Linked DNA regions of Astyanax mexicanus. The protein of the gene in region 1 purifies or fractionates together with the protein of each later gene. This does not show direct contact. Links are inferred from orthologs where the notes say so. Each region holds a gene or a part of one and is shown on either strand. Other genes may lie near its edges.

Region 1 (7,657 bases):
GTCGTTTTTAAAATAGGTCATTTTACTTTTACTCAAGTACATTTTGACACAAGTAATTTACTTTGCTACATTGGAAAACTCCCCGTTACTGAGTGAAAAATAAAATGCTGGGGGAAAAAAAACGAATTGTCTGAATTAAAAAAGAAATTTGAGTTTTGTTCTCCATGGCAGCGCAGCTGTTCTTAAAAAAGTTTTATGGGGTGGTCTGAACAAATACTGCCTGAAAGATCCAAATTATTATATAAAAAGATTTAATTTATGATTTGTTGTACTTTTACTCACAGTACATTTTAAATTGAGTACTTTTTTTACTTTTACTCAAGTAGATTTTTAGATGGGAATTTAAATTTTTAGCAAAGTAAAGGTACTTTTACTTAGGACTTTTTCCACCTCTGCCAACGTATAAGGAAACATGTCAGCACTTTTTTTATTTTTCCAAACAATCTGCTTTGTCATCGTTCTTTTAAAACACGCATTTCAACTTTTCAGCGTTTTTTTGGAAGATTTGTTGGAGGTGATTTGATGGAGGTGATCTGTTGCTCAAACTTGTTAAAACTTTCACTATTTCAAGTCTGCGAGTTTACCTCTTTTAAAAACATGTCCCATGTCCACGACGCTTTCATAGGGGAGGTCTCTGTGTTCTGTTCATAAACAAGCTTACGGGCTGAGCACAGGCCCTTCATTATTTTCAGCCTCCTTCATCAAAAGAGCGCTTGTTGCAGTAAAAGTCTGTGCGCTGGAGTGTAGAGTTACTCGTCTGCGTCTCAGGTCACTTCCTTAAAACTGGTTCTACTGGTGCGGAGTGCTCTGGGTACGCCGAAAGTTAATGAATGCTAAAGTTTTACAACAGGTTAGCCTGGGGATTATTAAAATGTAACCATATGAAGCAAAGTCAACTTTGGCTTTAATGTTTAACATGGAAAAATGTTCAGCCTGGGTTTTTCTGTGGATTTCACCTTGATCACCCAGCAGTGATTCCTCTCATTCATACATACATACATTTATGAACAAGCTGCTTCACAAATACTCAGTGTGCACTCAATTGTACACAAAAATCCACGCTAGTTTAGTCTAGTTTCTTAAGATTTTACACACAAATACACTGTTTGTACATAATGAAAGTGATGTTTCAGGCACATTCACATTCACACGCAAATAGACATTTTTGCACCTTTACTTTCATAATGTAGAGCTTGCTGAAGGGAGTGTGGGAATCATGTGAACATCTGGTTCTGTGGGAAGGACATTGAGGCTTTGCTACTCTTATCTTAAGCTATCCAGCGCCAACTGACAACAAACAGACATCTGTTTCCAAAACATGGAGGAGATTAACATTTGCATTCAACGTACTGTAATTCTTACTTACATAGGATATGCTCAGGAGCCTCAAACGCTTTAGTTTCATTTAAAAAATAATAAAAAAATACATTTAATTAGAACAGAGAAAGGTAGCTTTAAAGCATTACTACTGTACTAAAAACACATTTATACTATAGAACATGTGTGCAGCATGTTACTGTAGATCTATAAGTATTATTATTGAAATATAGTGGGAAATTTTAAATGTATTTCAACCGTGAATCGGAGTACAGTAATCTTGGAGCATGATTTTAATTTCAGCAGTTTAAACAAGACACTTTCTTTGCTAACTATACATTTTTTACATTATTTTCAACTCAGATCTAATTTTATTACTAGTTTTAGACAAAGGGATATCAGTATATCATCCATAACTGTATATATTATATAAGACCAATTGGTGCTTTTGGCAGCGTGGGCAGTGTGCCAAGTCCTGATGGAAAATGAAATCCACATCTCCATAAAAGTTGAAAACTTTAGACTTAGTAATAAAACACAGTGGATCAACACCAGCAGATGACAGACATGACTCTCCAAACCATCACTGATCATCAGTAAATTTTACATTTTATTTGTAAATCAAGGGAGCAGAGTCTGGAGGAAGAGTGGAGACAAACTGCTCGAGGTCTAGTGTGAAGTTTCCACCAATCAGTGATGGTTTGGAGAGACATGTCATCTGCTGGTGTTGATCCACTGTGTTTTATTATCAAGTCTAAAGTCAGTGCAGTTTTGTTTTCCCAGAAAATCTTACAACACTTCATGCTTCCCTCTGCTACTGACAACTTTTATGGAGATGCAGATTTCATTTTCCAGCAGGAGTTGGCACACTGCCCACACTGTCAAAAGTACCAATTGGTTTTATATAAAAATCAAATTTTCTTAGACACTTATTTATGGGTTTTTGATTGGCTGTAGCCACAATCGTCAACAATAAAAGAAAAAACGCTTAAAATAGATCACTCTGTGTGTAATATATTTATATAATATGAGTTTCACATTATGAACCGAATTACTGAAATAGAGTAACTTTTCAATAATATTCAATTTTTTTTTAGTTGCACTAGTAGCCAAATGAAAGGCACAAAGAAAGGCAGCCAATCTATTAACTTAACACATATATGTTAGTGGTGAGTTACCTCAGCATGCTAACACCAAGCTAGCCTTTTTCTGCTTGTATTTTTAAAGTAATAAACAGTCAGTGGTGCTGAAATATTTATTTCCTTTTATTTCAGTTTATAAAGTACAGTGTATTAATGAACTTTAACTTGCCGCTTATTGGCTAACTGCTGCCTTTCTGTGGTACTGCTCTGCTCTGCTAGCTAAACAGCTAACGCTAGCTACACTACAATAAGAGAGAAAATCATTGAAGAGAAGCTTCTTCTTTAGCTAGTAATCAAATTATTACCAAAATAAACATTTTGTACATTCATTAAAATAATATGTCTGGAGACATTTAGTTTAGTTTCTTTAGTTTGGTGAACTAGTAACATTACTGGATAAATGTGCATGTGTGTTAAGGTTTATCGCTAGCTACAGTAGCTATGTGTGTTAGTGCACTGGATAGCTAGCCAGCTACATGATGTTTATTAAAATATAAAATGTGTTATTAATAATACAATAAATAAAATTAAATTAAATAAAACTTGAGAATTATATTATATTATTGTTTATTAAAACAGTTAACAATCATTTTACCATTGCTGTTTAACATATAGTCTAATATTTTCTGTGCTAAAAATACATCAGTCTGTTACTGTGACAGATTTATTTGTGCACATCAATTTTAGTTGATTCAGCATTGATTTATCATTATGGTTTTATACAGTATGTATTGTTTGTGTATTATTTTAACTCTAATTACACTAAAAACTTATATGTTGTTTGTATTATACGCTTATATTCTAAAAACCTTTATTTTTGTTCCTGCACCTTAGATGGTTGGTGTGTTACAGTGTGGTGTAGTGGATAACATCACCACCTGCCAGCGAGTTAATGTGGGAGACTGGGGTTCAATTCCAGGTCTGGTTGACTGAATGCTGTGCTACACCAATAAGAGTCCTTGGGCTAGACTCCTAACACTACATTGACCCAACTCTCTAATATGAATAACTTTGTAAATCGCTCTGAATAAGAGCATCAGATAAATACAGTTAATTAATTAATGAATCTGGACATTATTTAACATGACATAATTATCATTATTATTATCATAATTTATTATTTGTGGGAGTAGAAGAGCTTATCCCATCCATTCTAAGCCTTCAAATGAACGTTGATTTAATGTCAGAATTTCACCAATAATCAATTATATTGAAAAATAAGCTAGTATTACTTTAAATAAAGGTCGTTTAAATGTTTTTTTTTTATCTCATCAACATTAAAAGTTGGAATGCAACCAAAAAAATACACAGTACCACTTTAAAATAAGACTACCTTTATAAAGGGTTTATAAGTGGTTTACAATTAGTTTATTAATGATCACTAATTAGGTGGTAAATGCCTTGAAATAATTAATAATCAGTTATAACACATATGTAGAAAGGGCAACAATGACCTGTTGTTTGCCAAATAGTGAACCCACAGCCATCTATACTGTTGCCCTTTCTACGTATGTGTTTATTTTAACTGATTATTCATTTTTAGGCATTTTAAGGCATTTACAACCTAATTAGTAACCATTAATAAACTGTAAACCATTGTAAACCATTTATAAACCCTTTATAAAGGTAGTCCTATTTTAAAGTGGTACCAAATACACTTATTTCATGTTATAGAGTTTGCAATGAGGCTATTCATACTGTTAACAAAGTAACTACAGCAGCTTACTAGCTAATTGCTGCCAGTACGTTCCTGTACATTTCACACTGTTCTTTTTACACATAGTATTAATAACAGAAATAGTAACAATACAATGTTTAAACAAAGATGAAAAGCAGGAAAAGCACTTTTACTGACTTAAAGTCAGTCAGAAAGGAAGCAAATACAATCCTTCCTCCACCTCTATATGCTATAATAAGGGCATTGTCTGTGTTAAAGATTAACTGACACCAGGATAGCATTGAACTGTGCTACAGAAGTCCATAAATCTAACGATGGCCAAAACCTGGACTTTGGTTCTCCTTCGCCTTTCCTTAAAGTCAGTGAAGGTTAAAAAGTACAAATGAAGTGCAAATGGAGGTTGACTGAATTATAACAGAAAATCTAAATCTCACCTGCCAAACTCCGCCCCTTTTCCCTCGACTCTCCTCCTCCTCAGGTAGGAGGGCTGCGAGCTATAAAGGTTTGCAGACCTGTTTGGAAGTGCAGAGACTCCCACTGAGAGGAGTCGCCTCACACTTTAACCACAGGGAACAGGAGCACCGTAATTTACTGCTGGAACCTGAAAACACAAAAAAAAAAAGGAAAAATGGGGTTAGGAGTAAGTTGCGTTTTTATTTCTTATCTGCTTTGTTTTATTAACACACCTTTATTTTAATATTTGATTAAGTTTTAAATATTTTTCTGTTTTAAGATTTTAATTTGATTTTAATGACGTGTTTACAGCGCATTGTGTGTGAGCTCACCTTTCTTAACAAAAGCTGTAATTTTCTCACATATTATTTTTCCTCAGACGGGTTCTGATAAATACAAGCTGGCCTCAACTTCAGAAGATGGAGAGAAAAAGAAGAAAAAGGGAAAGAAACAAGATAAGGACATGGATGAATTGAAGAAAGAAGTTGATTTAGTAAGAAATTCCATTAATAATAAAAAATACAAATATATTAATCAAGCCATTTTAACAAATATATGTATGTTGTACATAAATATATTGAAATCAATTATTCTTTCTTATAAAAAACAAAACTTTTTTACATAAAAAGCTACAACTATAAACTATAATTTATTAGTTAAATAAACAGCAAAACAATAAGATTAAGACAAGTAGAAGTAAAATTTAGCAAACTGTAACACATAATTTTTATTTAATTTTTTTCCATTTGTTTTGGCAAAAAATAATTTATTCTTCCTTTATTTTGTTAAAAAAATTATATATATATTTTTTTTTTACATAAAACCACTAAAATGTGCTTTATGTAGACTTCTATTTCTTTATTCAAAAGGGCACTTAAAATACACATCCTACAAAATTAAAGAAAATAGCTAATTTCACATAAGTAAAATGGAGAAATTTGAAAAGAAATGCTGCTGTTTTACTCTGAACTGTTTCACATTGGTTTTGTTTGATTGAAATATTAATTATAATAATTATTGTGTTTTCTCTACTAAAGGATGATCATAAGTTGTCTTTGGATGAACTTCACCGCAAATACGGCACAGACCTCAGCAGGGTAAGTACAAAAGTGTAGAGCAAAAATATATATATATATATTTACTGATTGATCATTTTCTCAAGATAAAACATTACTTTTTGTACAATTTTGTTAAAGAATAAAACTCATATTTTGTGCTAAAACTACACAGTAGACTTTTTAAGCATGTGACATAAAAAAAAAACTTATTTATTAAGATTTTTGCTTGGTGATCTTGATGAAAATAGTCATTTTAACTTTTGTAAGTTGATTTTTCCACAGTTTATCGTTTACTACACATTTTCTAACCAAAATGTCCAATAACAAATCTTTTAAAAGTCTTTTTCGTACTATTTTTAAGGGTTTATCTGCGACTCGTGCTAAAGAAATCCTTGCACGGGATGGACCCAACGCTCTGACCCCACCGCCAACTACTCCAGAATGGGTGAAGTTCTGCAAGCAGCTGTTTGGAGGGTTTTCCACGCTGCTGTGGATTGGAGCTATTCTCTGCTTTCTGGCTTATGGAATCCAGGCTGCCTCAGAAGATGAACCAACCAATGATAACGTAAGATAACCCGAGGATATTAGATGCAGATTTATAGATGCATATTTAGCATGTTAGCATCATTATTCTCTCTTTCTATATCTCTAATTCAAACATTCGTTTGTTGCAGTTGTACCTTGGTATTGTGCTGTCTGCTGTGGTCATGATCACAGGATGTTTCTCCTACTATCAAGAGGCCAAAAGTTCAAAGATCATGGAGTCCTTTAAGAACCTCGTCCCACAGGTATAATAAAACCATAAAACCATATTCCACTGAGCTGAGCTGTTCACGTGAAATTACTCAACACCCTGCTGTATCGTTCTAATACAGCAAGCCCTGGTAATCCGAGACGGGGAGAAGAAGAGCATTAATGCTGAGGAGGTGGTGGCTGGTGACCTTGTGGAGGTTAAGGGCGGAGACCGAATCCCTGCTGACCTGCGCATTATCTCCGCACACGGATGCAAGGTGACTGTTAAAAAAATTAATCCGACTTAATTACACAAACAACTCTTCTATCTGTCCTGGGAATTATGTAACATATATTTTTAAACCTAAAAAGGCTGATTTATGAGGTAGGAATTAAGGATTAGCCTTTGTTTTCATCCCTGAATCAAAAATTAGGCAAATATTTAAGCCAAATGGTTGATTTTTGTCTGCAATTTTTTTATTTTTTTCAATCAAACAACAAAACAGATATAAGTAGAACCAAAGCTTCAAACTGTATCATATTATTTCCTTCAGACTTTTCAAAAGTATGTCAACCCTTTAGAATTTCATGGTTTTAAAAAATATAATGTGCTGCAAATAATTGCACAAAAAAAAAAAAACATTATGATTGTTCTTGTTTTCATTGAGAAAACTATAAAAATATCAGAATTCTAGTGGTAAAAAAGTATGTGAACCCTTATGTTATATGACCTCAAAAAAGCTATTTAAAGTCAATAAATAGGATAGCTGGAGTCTTGCTAGTTTAGAAGTTTGGAGTCGCACTAATTTGACTAATAAAACCTGTTTTTATCAGTCAAATTTTTGTTCTACACAAGACGAATATGCATATGGGAGCAATGCTGTGCCAAAAAGAGCTTTCAGAGGATCAAACAAAGCTACAAAGAGAGATACAAAGTGATTTCAAAGACTGCAGAAACTCTAGAAAGTCCAAGGTAAAGGCAAACTGTCTACAAAAGGAGACAAGAAGTGGGCGCCAAGTCAAAAAGACCACAAGAACCAGGAGAGACTTATCAATGAGATAGAAAGAAACAGACCAGAAACAAACCCTTTAAGCCAGGGGTGTCCAAACTTTTTTTGGGGGGGGCAGAAGGAGAAATATATTTGAAGTCAACTCCTTATTTACGGTAACTTTTAGACTCTTTGGCCTCTTTTTCTGCCCTACAACTGAACACTCTTGCTACTTTTAGACTCTTTGGCCCGTTTTTCGGCGCTACAAATGAGCACTCTCTACCCTTT
Region 2 (7,838 bases), on another chromosome or scaffold:
TGTTTTTATTGTATTTAATTTTAATTGCATTATGCTATTTATGTCAAAAAGCAGCTTTACATGGCTGAGGGTATACTAGACAAATGATTTAATACACCAGCAGCATTTAGAAATCTGAAAAAAAAAATTCACAAATGAATGAATGACACAGATGTATAACATGCAACACATTCAACAGACCAGGCAAGAACATAGACGTTTTACAAGTATTAAGTAAGAGAGTATGACATAAAAATATTATGAAATGATTATACGTTTATGAAAGAAGCCTTATGTTTTTAAAGTTCTAGGCTTAATTTCAGGGCTTGAAATATTCCCAAAATTTATTTCATACTATATTACTTCATTTAGGTCCCCATGCTAAGATTCTGATACCAATATGTACAGTATAAAAGCCACTGTCCATGGTGTACATAATGGCATGCTGATACTGAGTGATATGGTAAAAATATTATATCCCATTCCCCGTTATCCCGTCTCCCTCCACCCATCCTCACACTCTTCTATAGAGGGACCATTGAGAGCATCCTGAGCAGCTGCATCACTGCCTGGTTTGGGACCTGCACCGTCTCTGACTGCAAGACCCTCCAGCGTATTGTGAGGACAGCTGAGAGGATCATCGGCGTCTCTCTCACCTCCATCACGGACATTTACACCACCCGCAGCATCCGCAAAGCAACCAGCATTGTGAATGACCCCACCCATCCCTCACACAAACTGTTCTCCCTCCTGCCTTCGGGAAAAAGGTACCGCAGCATCCGGTCCAGCACGACCAGATTCTGCAACAGCTTCTACCCCCAAGCCATCAGACTCCTCAACTGCAGAGACTGAACTGATGTTTTTTCTGTACATGCACACACACTCTTACCCCACTTACCCCAGAAAATGGAAAGCACTAAAAACCCTACTACCTCACTGGACTCTATTGCACACTGTGCAATAGAGGTAATTACTACCTCACTGGTCTTTTTGCACACTTTTTGCACACTGCATAATTTGTACACTGTCTTGTTATTTATTATTCTGTCTGTATTGTGTTGTATTGTCTGTCTGCACTTTTGTACTGTTGCACTATTGTTTTGTCTACACTGTGTTTATGTGCACCATGGTCCCTGGAGGAACGTTGTTTCGTTTCACTGTGTACTCTGTATATAGCTGAAATGACAATAAAAACCACTTTGACTTTGACACACAGTATTTATCATCAAGTTTAAATAAGGAGAAAAAAAACATCAGCAGTGTCAGATTCTGCTATTATGCTATTTAAATACTATTTAATAATTTGCACAGTGATTATTAAATTTTTGTGGCACACCATGTAATTAAACACTCTCTGTAATTAAATTGGTTAGTTAGGTCAGGGTCCTGTAGGCCCTGATGGTACATTTGATATGATCGCAGTCCACTGAAAAACATGCATCTCCAAAACGGCAACTTTACAGAACAGCAACAAAATGTAAGTAAATGAAATAAAAAGTGTTTATTTCAAGTCTTTTATAAATGTTGCCAGTTCGCCTGTTAAACTTATTTAGCAAACTAAAAATCAACAAAAATGGAGCTTCTCGTTTTTCATTGGACAGCAAAAGCAGTGTCCTCACGATATAAATGATGGTAAATTATATAATTATACAATAAAAATATTGATATATTGCTAAACTCTATGTACAATATGTTACATATATAAATCCACAAAATAGTTTCGTTTATATTTTGCCTCGATTTTTGCGCTTTTCATTTGCGATGGTAGAAAAAACGTAACGATGCTACAGTATCTACTGTAGCGAACAGAAAGAAACCAGGCCGACACAGAATTAGACCACGCCTCTTCAACAGGGTGACCACGCCCACTATACTAAGGGTCCGTCAGGATGGCCTCCTCTAGCGTGGGTTCAGATCCCATACATGACAGGCTTTACTGTGTCATTGCGGTCAGCCTGGTCAAGGTTGTAAAGCTGTGAATTCAACACGGTCACTCACTCTTCTTTAATATATAGTCATATATTATTACATTAAATTACATTATTATATTAAAATAATGCTATAGACAACTTCACCAAGCACCATGTATGCTAACATACAGTGTAGCGAAAACGGCGTCAGTGCTCTTAATTCACCTTCAACATGACACTTAATAAACAAATGTCAATGCCAATGTCACTCTTTTCTGCTATAATCACACTATTACAGTCCACTGTGTTTGTTTTTTTGTTTGTTTGTTCAAAATAATGAATCTACAGTAATTTATGAGGAGGTATTGAAGGTAGCATTATATATCCTCTTATGTAAACATTTTAGTAATAAATGCGTGTCTATCAGAATAACAAACCTGCGATCAGCTGATTAATCACACTTTACAGTGTCTCAGGTGTGTAAAAGTCATATGCAAGACTTCTGATTTCATTCTGGTAACGTGCCCTGATTAGCTGAATTATAAACAGCTCGGTGACCCTTCACCTACTTCTTCAGCCGGCACAAGGGCAGGCTGCACACACTGCTAACTATCTCACTCTCACACACTAATTGTGCAAAACTACAAACTGCACTGCCCTGTCTACCAAACACACTAAACACAAATACTTTAACAGGCTTATTTACAATAAATAAAATAGTGAGACCATTAAAAACAGCAGGATTTGAGCTTACCGCAGCTAGCCAGCAAGACACCACACTGACAGTGAAATCAGCCAGCCCGCACTGCGCATGTGCACAAACACTCTCAAGCGTTCAGTATCTCTCTGTGTATGTGTGTGTTATTATGTTATTATAGCCAGTGAATGCAGATAATCTGTGTGTGTATGAAGGAGCGTTACCTGCGCAGATCCTGCTGTATGATGAACCCGAAGCCGCGGGACTCTTCCTGGGACTGGACCAAGATGACAAACGACTACAAAAAATGTGCAGCTCGAAAGACCTTAAAAGTTTCGTAGTAGCCCTGAAATCTGCCTGCACTAAATTGTCTTAAAACTATTAAACACAAAAAAACTAATCTGCATACACATATAAAACCAAATGCACTGAGCCGTATATATTCATGTGCACGTGTTTCAGTTGTCAGTGCTTTTAAAAAGTGACTTTAGCTACGCAATCTGAGAAATGGAATGCAGCTTGGGTCCTTAACGCACCGGTTTCCCCTCCCTCGCGCTTCCGTTTCACGGTTTGTGTGCTGGGGGGGTGCGCGTGTGTGAGTGCGTGATTGTGCGCGTGCGTCTGTCTGTCTCTCAGCGTCTGTGAAGCGGAGCTCCGGAGGCGATGGCGAGCGTACGGGCGGCGGGCACACTGATCAGATCTGCGGCCAGCAGATACCCTCATTTCTCCGGTAGGTGCAGCAGATCAGACTCAGACTCTGGGTTTTGTAGTTTTTTATAGTGAAATCAGCTCAATAGCGAAAAGCTGCAGTGCGTGTAGCGTCCTTACGCGACCCTGCGAGCCTCACAGGCGGATGAACTTTCACCTACTTCTGCTGGGAGGGTGACCGATGGGGGGGAATGATCAAGTGCATGACCAGAAGACCACCTTACACACCACCCCAGTGTACCAAAGAGTTGAGAATGTCAGTGTGTGTTATGTAATAAGGCATGCTATTAATTTGTGAAGTAGATTAGTTATATGTGCATTGCATTGAGTGAGTTTAGTTATAGAAGAATGAGTGAAATCAGAGCTGCTCCTTTAAACTAATTTTCCCCTTTGTTTTTCTTCATCTACAGTCAAGAATAGAAGGAAATGGCACAAAAATCAGTGTACACATTTTTTGCAGTAAACTGACAAGGCCTTGAAGGAAAGCAAATGAACTAAACACTGAAAAAAACATTTTATTATTGTAGAAAAAAGAGTATTGTAAAAAGGAATGATTTTAACAACTGAAAACTGTCATTACCTTTTGGAGAAATCTGATATAAAACCCTATATTTTAAAAATTGCACTAAATCACAGATTAGAGGTGGGCAATATGGCTTAATATAATATCACAATATTTCATTGTATTTTCACGATGGCGATACTCTTGGTGATATGTCAAAACACTGAATTTAAAAAATATATATATATATTTAAAAATATACGTACTTCAGCAATATAATATAATACAATATAATATGGCACACCCCTAACTGCGATAATAAAAAATACAAGAATTTTATCAGATTTGTAAAATAAGTCAATGACCAGAACATCATGATCATTAATGCACTTGAAATATCTCCATATATCCAGGAATGAAGTAAAATGAATGATACTGGACAGATATAATCTGTCTCTAGTAGATATATAATGGTAAATGAGAACAGTGTGAATTTTTATTTTGCTAAAAGCAGCAAAAAAAGTAGGACCCTGATGTGATAATTAGCGGTGGGCGATATGGCACAATATTTTAGGATGTAATATCGTTCACATTCACAATATTCAAAAATGTTGGTGATATTATTGCGTACCATAAGATACTATATGACACACCCATATCACAGATAGATATTGTAATGTCAGATTTTAAATAGGCTCTGGTAATGCTGCAACCTGGAACACGGAGTATCATTTTTTTTAGATCGGCCTAGTGACCCAGTGGTCTACAGTTAAGGTCACTGCACTTTTATTCTGAATAAAGTTTCCATAATTAGCTTACAGCTTATGAGTAGCAATAAAAATAAATTGAGCTTTGGAAATTGATTTGAAAAACTTGTCAATTTACAAAGCTTTTATCTGTAGTAAAGCAGTGCTGGAACAGATTTTGTTATTGCACTCTCTACTGCAGCATTTACACACTAGAAACACTAGAAGCACACGGCACATAACTACAGTAGAAAAAGACACACACAGATAACTCTGTAACTGTGTAAATAGGATTAAAAGGATCTTGACATGACAATACTGTTGTTTATTGCAATTATTTGTGCATGCATGTAGTCACAGTTATAAAGAATTTTTCAATATCCTTTTAATTGTTGTTTTTTACTGTTTGAAATGATTTCATGGCAGTGACGTCATATCAAACAAATGTTACCTTTTAGCTGCTTGATACAAAAGACGATACAAAAAAATCACACTGCTCTCTCATCATTTTTTTGACTCCAATTTTGGATACATGGAATAAATTGTTAATATTGTAACAATCAGGGACTTCTGGAGAAATCTGATATAAAATCCTGTTTTTCAAAATAGCAATTAATACAGAAAAAAATATATATTGCAAAGTGAGATATTAAATGGGCTCTGGTATGATTTTGTAGGTTGGCCTAGTGACCCAAACATTCCCCCAAAGTTTCCATATATGGTACCTGAGTGAATGATGTCCCAAACCATATTTACACCCAAGTCCTGGTGACGCTAGTCGTCTTGTCACTCCCTGTTTAGAGTACTTTTTCCACATGCACTCATACACACGCTCTCTCACAGAGGGTGTGTATGGTGGCATTACCTCTTGTGACCGGGTCAGGTGAAGGAGAAACAGAACTGGGCTGCAGGTCATGCTGCATCAGTAACTGTATCTGTATTTAGGTCAGAGTCATTATTGATTAATAAGGGATGTTAAACTGTTTTGATTAAGGTTAGGGTCATACATGATTTCTTTTGATTTTAATTGCATGATTCTGTGGCTTTAGCTCAGTCTAGTACTAAATATTAAAGAGTTACAATTGACCAAGGTCAGTAAAAGTGACCCTCAAAGTTTTGTTGGTAAAGTAGCTATAGATATAATAGCTGTATATTGGGACAGTTTTTAAGCTTTCTTATTAGAAGAAAATATCTTAAGTGATTAATTTCTGTAATACTGAAGATTTTTCTGGTTTCACAGCTCTGCAAAAACCTTTTTTCTTGTCACGATCATTACATTATTGACTTATCATTCACTAAATGGACATGCCCTCAATAATATTTGATAATTGTGATATCATCTATTGTGTTTAATTGTATGTTTGTTCACATATATAACAGTGAACAGTATTTTAGCCAGTTATGTAATATCCAATGTTTTAATAACCCCATACACACAGTGTGTACTGCAAAAAGTATGTATTTTCCAAACTATAATAAATTACAAATTTGTTGTCTTTAAAAGGGAACGAAGTTGTGCTTTAAGCTTTTCTGTTTTTTAGAGCTGGGTAATATGCCCTAAAAATCTATTTTTTTTTCACCAATAAAAGAAAATCAGTTTTTTGATTTTAACTAAAAAAATTTCCCTATTAAAAAGAGACAGACACTGGATTATACTGCAGAATGTGAGCAGTAATGAAGCAGTAAACAGGTCACAGAAAGTTGTAATGAAAGAAACATTCAAGGAGCACTATTTATTGTTTTCCACAAATAATCACGGATCCTCACCGGAGGAGGGCCACTCTGAACTATAGAAGCCCAGAAGGGAGCATAGGTAGCAGAAGTCTAAACAGAGAAAATCAGTTTTCATAAAAACGCATCGTCCTTAACTGTAAATTTTAATTAATTCATAAAATTGATTTTTTTTATTATCATTATGTCAGTGGCATGTAATTGGGCTTAAAATGACAATAATATCGTTTATCACAATAATTACTGGGGCGATTAAATCGTCCACAAAAAAATATCATTTTGACGGGCCACACACGAGAGAATAAACCTGTCCTGTTTAAATGTTTGTCCAAATATCACCCTAAAATTACCAATCTTAAGTAAACATCTTTAAACTGGTTTTTGACTGCATGTTTTACTCACACTTTTATTCATGATCACATGTTTTTTCAGTGTTGTGTGAACTAAAGATGTGATTTAGATGAAGTAATCTGAGTTTATATAAACATTACATAAAATAGTAAGCTAGAGAATGTGTTAAGCTTTTCAGGCTGTATCTACAGTCTTTAGGTTCAGTATTTTTCTTTAAGCTGAGGGCTCTGTTCACTTGTGCAAATATATATTTTTTTTGTTTAGTGAATGGACGCCGGAACTTCTCTGCATCATCAGCTCTGCTGGGTAATTATTAGCATAAGTGTTTTAAACCATCAACACACATTATTAATTTTATGATCCCTGCTTTTGGCGTATAATCCTGTACATATCTGTGATCTTTTTTTCAGCTCGCACCTATGTCAACTATGAGCTCAAAGATGACGTTGCAGTCATCAAGATCAACGACCCTTCAGGCCGGGTCAGTAACTCCAACACACTGTTCTGTCTTTCTAAGGGAAATTAGTTTTATTGTGATGTGATGTGATGTCATTTTCACTTTCATACTGCACACTTATTTTTTTTTAAGGCTGAGTGTTATGAAATGGACTTTTATCATATCAGCAAATTGTCAGCAAATATTCACTTTTTCTTTCGCAAAAATCAGTGTTGTTCAAAGGTGCAAGCAAACGTTTAGGCACCCTATAAATATGTTGCTGTGAATATTTAGGAAAATAGAAGATAAACTAGTCTATAAAAATGTTTACTAAAAAGTAAAAGTTTGGAGAGGAAAATAGACTTTTGGATGGCAGCTTTTATCAATGTCTACGACCTTAATTACATTGCTATGCCTATGGTTTGTTCTTAACAACCATTAGCAATTATTGTATTACTATCTTCAAATTCTGTAATCCTGGATCAGGCTGCTTTTGGGCCCTTTTCCCTTTCAGATTCATAAAATAATTTAGTTTAAACTCTTTTCATCTTTTACTCTCTTATCTGTTTTTTTAAAAGACACTTTAAGCAGGGGTGTTCAGACGGGTGTTTTGCATGCTTTTGTAGGTTTTATACTGATAGTAGGGTTGGGCGATGTCTCCTTAATTGGCAGATGACGATGTTTACAGTGAAACATCGCGATGGACAATGATAGAGTTGGGGGGGGGGTTAAAAATAATTAATATAAAATAAAAACTCATTTACAACAATATTTGATT
Region 3 (7,013 bases), on another chromosome or scaffold:
GTGCTGCTAACAAATACATAAACTACACAAACTAAACAAAATACACAAAATACACAAACTAAAGAAAACTACACAAATTACACAAACCAAACTAAATCACACAAACTAAACAAAATACACAAACAAAAAAATACACAAACTAAACAAAATACAACCACTAAACAGATTACACAAAATAAAAAATACACAGAAATAATACATACACATATTCATCTTTAATTATTTAGCATGTGGGCAAAAATTACAAAGAAATGTAAAATATTAAAACCTTAATTTTAGTTTTAGTTAAAAATTGAAGCACTATTCAGCTTTAATAATTTAATAAGGAAAAAACAGGACATTAAATTTAAGATAATTAGTAAATGTAATTTTTACAGCTTTAAAGTTTCTGATTTTTATAGTTAATGTATTGTTTTTAAATGTAAATTTATTTTAGTAATTAAGTAAATTAGCATGTGCAGCTTTTTTAATGTTTATGCAGAATTTAATTTTTTTAATACAGTATTTAAAAAGTACTAAACTCTAGTGGTGATTAAAGGGAAATCCATCCAGTATGTATTAAGGTATAAGAGATTACTCTATAGTGTTTTAATATTGTAAAATTACTGAATGTTTTAATGCAATTCATATCAAAAGTAAATTTCACTTATTCAGCTACTGCATATGTTTCGTATTCAGTGTAAAACAGACTTTATAATTCCAGCATAAAAAGGAAATAATAAAGTGATGTTTATTTAAGTAACATATTACCCGTTTATAAAATTATTAAAAACATTACACTTATATTTAATAAACAAAACACTGAGTAAACATAATACAATTATTTATAATGCGTTATATATAATTATAACTATGCTGTAAAAGATGCGGAGAGGAAGTGAGTTCGGAAAAATAACTAAAAAAATACATTTAAAACAAATAAAACCTTTAAAGATTCTGAATTTAATGCGCTGATGTTTCTGCAGCTCTGAGAGTCACACAGCGCCACCCTCCGGCCAACCCGCCTCATTACAACAACACACACCTGCAGCCTTACACACATTACAGCACAGCAAACACACACACACACACACACACACAATACATACACACACAATACACACACACAATACATACACACACTATACACACACACACAATACACACAATACATACACACACAATACACACACACACACAATACACACAATACATTCACAATACATACACACACAATACACACAATACATACACACACAATACACACACACACACAATACATACACACACAATACACACACACACACTACACATACACTGAACTCTTCACGCACAATACTAAGAAAACACACATCATCTTTAAAATAATAAATACATCATCATCAAATCTCTTGTGAAGATGAGAAAAATCAGTTTATAGTTTTTTCTGTTTCTTTTCTCATCTGTTTATCATTTCTTCCCAAATTAGAAGTTCCTAAACTGCGAGCTGTGGATCTCTGCAGCTCCTCTACAGTGACCATGAGTCTCCTGAGGGGATTTAACACACAGTAAAGCTAATCCTGCACTTCACTAATCTGCCCTTTATAAACACATAAACCAAAAGAAACGTTTTTTAAATGATAAGAGTTTGAAATTTAGTGGAGCTAAAGTAACCGTACAGGAACCAATCACATTAACTTCATAACTGTCCATTACTGAACTCTTAAATCCTTAATCTTTATTCTTTACTGATTTATGTATAAACCATTAAAGAATAAATCAAAGATAAAACACAAATTTACTAAATTTACTTTATAATCAGTGTACAGCAGAGAGTCAGTGGTGATACAGTACACAAAGTACATCATTTTACAACAGTACTCAATCCTGTACGGCTGCTACAGATAAAATAGAAATATACCTTTATTTATAGCAGCACAATATATAATTTCAGCATCGTTATTGCATTGAATCGTTCCGGTTGTGCAACAGTCACATTATAATACAGGGGTTAGAACTGAATATATATTACAATATATGGTAAGCATATATTGTGAGCAAGCAAGACAATTTATTAAGATTATTTTTAAATTAAATTTTAGAACTTTATTGAAAATTAAAGGAATGTAATCAGAAGGAAGATGGATGATCACAAGCAATCAAACCAAACTTAACTGCCTAGTGCCTAACCTTTTACACAAACCAAACATGATCCCAAGACTCATGCCAAGGCTATCATTAAAAATCTGTTATTCCATCAAATATTGATTTCTGAACTTTTAAGACATTAGTGTTGTTGTTTCTAAATAAATATGAACTTGTTTTATTTGCATTATTTGAGGTCTGAAAGCTCTGCATCTTTCCCCTAATTTAAATAACAATATTTTATTTGGAATTTGGGAGAAATGTTGTCCGTAGTTTATTGAATATAACAACAATGTTCATTTTACTTAAACATTTACCCGTGATCATTTTAAAGGAATCTCTTATTGTTTCTGGAGCTGTAACCTATATATCTTACTGTAGTGAATAAAGAGGCAAAATTATTTTATTAAAGAATTAAAGGAATTTATAATAAACTCGTGGATAAAGTTCACACAACCTGCACAGTATAAATTAAATATAAAGTACAGTATAAAGTAACTTACAGATAAATATGTACACTGCTGTATAATATGTGTCAAAGTTACTTTTAACTTAATTGTAACAGTTTTTTGTTGTGTTAATCTTATCTTCTTTCAATCTTTTTTATTTTTTTTTTTTATCTTTTATTCACTGTTTTATTCACAAATGATTATTATTTTTTGGTCATGTGAATCCCCTGTATTTGTAAATGCTCGCTACACTGAAAATGAGGGTTGCCCTCAATGTATTTCTTAGTTAAATTAATGGTTGATTGATTTATTGATTATTGGTCAGTTTTCTGTCTGAAGCCCCACTGGTTATAATGTGTTTAATGTTTTGTATTAATTCGGTAAATAATGCATTAAACTCTTTCGGATGTTATATATGATGTCGCTATGGTTACAGTTCCGAGATTTTCCGCGAGACATGACTAAATCTCACCTCAACCGCGCATGCGCTGCACAAATAGCGTAAGAGGCGGGGCGGGACCAAAGCTGAAGACCCCGCCTACTTCCTTCCTCCGCCGTTATATCAGAAATCTGCCCACATAGCCGCCAGGGGGCGCCCGCGAGGGAGTGCTCAATGAATAGGGTGAATGGAGCCAAACGAATAAAACTCAAATTAAATATAATGTCCAATACTCCAGAATATTCCTTTAATTTGACCAAAAAGCAAAGAAAATTACCTGTATATTACATTTCTCTACAGTGAACAGGTTTCAGTAAAGATGCTGCATTACTGCTACTGTGAGCTGATTGGTTGGTAAGTTTAAGCTGGAAATACAGACAGAGCTTTTAAAAAAGTTTAAAAGCTTTAAAAATGTGTGCAATAAAACATGTGATGCAGTTCTGTGGTGAGGAAACGTGTTTTTCATTATAAAAATGATCAAACATTTATAAACTGTGATTTTTCTGTAATGCTCCATATGAACCCATTCATTTATACTCTGTATAGTATAAAAGTAGGTTATCTATACTTTACTGCCGTAATTATTTTACATTTTCACACAATTATCTGAACTTTCTACTTCTTACATTTTAAAAAACAGCCTCGTTACTCCTGTTTCATTTCAGCTGGTTTTCATTCCGGCTTCTCATCATTCAATAAAACTCCTATCCAGATAAATCTCTCCATCCAGATAGAGTGAATCTGATTCTGATTGGATGTAGAGAAATATAAACATATACCATTCCCACTCCCTATTGGTTTAACTGTGATCCATCACACCTGCACACAGTTTTTGAATCCAGTACTTTTACACTTTTACTTAAAGAGTAAAAAACTTGAGTTGATTCTTCAACTTCTACAGCAGTATTTGATTAAACTTTAGTATCTATACTTCTATTTACAGAGTGATGGATGGAGATGGGGATTCTCCTGGGTAGAAGGTCTGTGGCGGTGCTGCAGATGTTGTTACGCGGACAGCGTGACCTCTCCTCTCCTCCTCCTCCCTCCATCTCTCTCTCTCTGTCTCCTCCCCCCATCCTCCTCTCCTGACTGAAGACTGCAGGCCGGGCGGAGAGGCTGTATCTGCGGTAAGCTCCAGCTCCAGGTTTATGGTTGTTACCGGTTACACGGCGCTGTTAGACCGCACTGCCCGCAGCCCGGCTGCGCTCCGCGGGGTTTAGCGGGAAACCGCGGCCGCAGCGCGGGGCTGAAGCTGTCGGTGGCGGCGGGGTGATGTGCAGCCAGGCGGGTCCGCGGCCTGGTAGCGCGGTGCTGCAGCCCGGGGATGCCCGGGTTTGGGCGGTGAGACCGCGGGGAGGGATTGGGTGGGTCTCCTCCTCTGCGTTCATCCCCGCGGTCTTTCTGCTCCAGGCCGGACCCTGACCGCAGCTCAGCTACCCGGGTAGCACAGGTCTGTAATTCCGCTCCACAAAGTAAAAATCCACCCCGGGATCTTTTACTGCAGCTCACCACTGATCTACTGAACCAGAAACCTGGGTGGATTTTTACTTTGTGGAGCTGGATCACTCATCTCTAACTAGCGGCTGTGGCTAACGGAGCCCAGCGGGCAGGGAGCAGGCAGGGAGCGGGGTGATGCTGCGGATCTGCCCGCCCTCAGTAACCTTCATCACACACCGCGATATTTAGAGAAGAGACTCGGGGATGGATGAGTGTGTGTGAAGGAGAGAGAGAGAGAGAGAGAGAGAGAGAGAGTGTGTGTGTGTGTGTGTGTGTGTGTGTCTGTGTGTGTGAGTGTAAGGGGGGGGGGGGGGGGGTCTTTCTCCTTGACATTGTGAAGGCTGTACACACTGCTGTGTTGCATCAGCTCAGTTTATTCTTTCTTCTAGTGTATAGATTAGTGTATAGATTCATTTATATAATTAATATATAATACAGGTTGAGAGTATAAACCCTGCTGTAGTAAAGCTGTAGATCTGCTGCTGCTGCTGTTAAACTCGGGCTAAATCTAACCCTCCTCTCCCAGCTTCACCTTCACACTCCGGATCTGAACACAGGCCTGTGTTTAAACTGTGCTTCTCTAGTGTGTTTTTAGACTTATTTAACTCTAAAAATACTAAAAAAAAGCTCCATATTAGAGCATGTTCCCGCTAGAAGTCCCAGTGCATGTAGCGTTACCGTATTTGGATAGCATAAATCACTGTATCATGGTAAAGATATGGAAATGAGAGGTCATACTGCTTTTGGATTTTTTTAAATAATATTTGTAATTTTTATTATTATTAGTTTCCATTTTTATAGTACACTTTTTTTAGCAGTGACAGTGAGACCGGATTTTAACAAATTTATTGTAAAAAAACTAAATAATTAAAAAGTGTAGGTCAGCGCATGCGCAGTGCCTTTAGGAAGCACGTATCGATGGGTAGCACAACTCGACAGAACACCCGGCTCTCTCCTCCTGCTTTTAATAAACTACTTATTCTTAAATATTCGTATATATATGATATAATTATAAAATATAATTCTAAAAATAAAACAATTTACACACACATTTATCCCCTGAACGCAAAACATGGATTGATCCATTTCTAAATATTTTGTTTTATTTTTTATTAATTTGCTAGAAATTAAATTAGAGGAGCAGTCCATTCTCTTATTTAAATATCCATGTAGTTGAGTTTTAACTCAAAAGGAGGAGTTTGTCAGACAGGGGTTAGGCCTAGTCTTAAACTGCACAGCATTTGGATTTAATCTGAATGAAGATCCATTTACAGGAAAGCATTTTAAACATGGAGGTTTTTAAATGTTGTTTATGTGAAGCGTTAACTCCGTGCAGAATGGGAATAGATTAGCATATGCTTAACTCTTAAAGCTTAATGAAAGCGTGGTGACGTGATTAGCTCACTACTACTGGAGTACAGGTCAGGAGCTCAGGGTTGTCGGATCAGATCAGTCAGTGATGGTGCCGCATGCGGTTCTATGGGGAGGTTCTATGCTGGTGATTCAGTGATTTCTGGTCGGGTTAGCTTTTTTAAACTGGTTCTCAGGTAAGAACTGACAGCAGTGTGGTTTAGATTGTGTTGAGAGTGAGCTGTAGTTTGTTGCTCTGTTGTGAGAATGGGTCTAATTGGCTGAAAGGAGAGCAGATGGTCAGATGGTTTCTCTATGGATCCATGTTCTGATGCGCCCCAGTGACCATTTACTGTTCCCATAATCCTCCAGTTATTATAACAGCACACATTCCACAGCGCTGTCTCCTCCACTTCAGTTCACACCGGGTCGGTTCCGGTTCAGTTCTGCGGTTCCTCTCAGTAAAGTATAATTCTGTGTTCTCCTGCAGATCATGGCTGTTCCACCGACATACGTTGACCTGGGAAAGTCTGCTAAGGACGTCTTCACTAAAGGATATGGTAGGAATTGGGTTTAGATGATTGGTTGGATTGTTGGTTGAGTTGGGAGCTGATCTTCTACAACATGTTTAAACACACCTCCAAACTCCTCCTTCAGCCCTGTTTGGACAGATTATTTATTATTGTTTACCTGGGGAGGGGAGGATGGGGAGTCATGTATTTTTGCTATTTTGTAAAAGTAAATAAAAACAAATTCACACTTCACACACAAACGTATCTCAGTATAAGTGACAGAGATGGGAGTGGCTACTCGATTTACACACTGCTTTCACCTACAGAGAACATAATGATAACCATTTTATAACCCACTTATAGTTTATTTAATTTTAGTTGTATTGGTTGAGGATGATGTACCAGTGTTTTAAAATGTACTCTGCACTAACTACAGAGTGATATACGGCTCTATATAACACAAACTATAACTTTCACAACTGTCTGTTCAAATTAAATGCAATTCTACTAGGTTTAATCCTGTTTTTATTGAGTTAATGAATCAAAGCTGTGCTGTGAAGTGAACCGTGAGTTTTCTGTATTGTAACTGTAATTATAAAAAAAAAAAAATGTTAAAAGCTGTAGATCTGTGCAGTTAAATGGGTTAAAGATGGAAATGTTGTT

What was found.
Region 2: the proteins of sodium/potassium-transporting ATPase subunit alpha-1 (region 1) and hadhb fractionate together in Homo sapiens (co-fractionation; 3 studies listed by BioGRID, with this or other methods). This does not show direct contact. The link is inferred for Astyanax mexicanus from reciprocal best matches to the Homo sapiens genes ATP1A1 and HADHB.
Region 3: the proteins of sodium/potassium-transporting ATPase subunit alpha-1 (region 1) and vdac1 fractionate together in Homo sapiens (co-fractionation; 3 studies listed by BioGRID, with this or other methods). This does not show direct contact. The link is inferred for Astyanax mexicanus from reciprocal best matches to the Homo sapiens genes ATP1A1 and VDAC1.

What each region holds. Positions count from the first base shown.
Region 1 is NC_064428.1:5,392,049-5,399,705, reverse strand, and holds the start of sodium/potassium-transporting ATPase subunit alpha-1, read left to right. Parts: upstream 1-4,641; 5' UTR 4,642-4,765; coding exon 4,766-4,777; intron 4,778-4,969; coding exon 4,970-5,083; intron 5,084-5,627; coding exon 5,628-5,687; intron 5,688-6,009; coding exon 6,010-6,213; intron 6,214-6,322; coding exon 6,323-6,436; intron 6,437-6,523; coding exon 6,524-6,658; intron 6,659-7,657. UniProt on the Homo sapiens protein: This is the catalytic component of the active enzyme, which catalyzes the hydrolysis of ATP coupled with the exchange of sodium and potassium ions across the plasma membrane.
Region 2 is NC_064408.1:42,744,983-42,752,820, forward strand, and holds the start of hadhb (trifunctional enzyme subunit beta, mitochondrial), read right to left. Parts: upstream 3,024-7,838; 5' UTR 2,811-3,023; intron 2,737-2,810; exon of another isoform or gene 2,644-2,736; intron 1-2,643. Other genes in the region: hadhaa (hydroxyacyl-CoA dehydrogenase trifunctional multienzyme complex subunit alpha a), read left to right, coding at 3,250-3,316, 6,889-6,930, 7,035-7,105. UniProt on the Homo sapiens protein: Mitochondrial trifunctional enzyme catalyzes the last three of the four reactions of the mitochondrial beta-oxidation pathway.
Region 3 is NC_064424.1:47,952,944-47,959,956, reverse strand, and holds the start of vdac1 (voltage-dependent anion-selective channel protein 1), read left to right. Parts: upstream 1-3,990; 5' UTR 3,991-4,118; intron 4,119-6,328; 5' UTR 6,329-6,331; coding exon 6,332-6,398; intron 6,399-7,013. UniProt on the Homo sapiens protein: Non-selective voltage-gated ion channel that mediates the transport of anions and cations through the mitochondrion outer membrane and plasma membrane.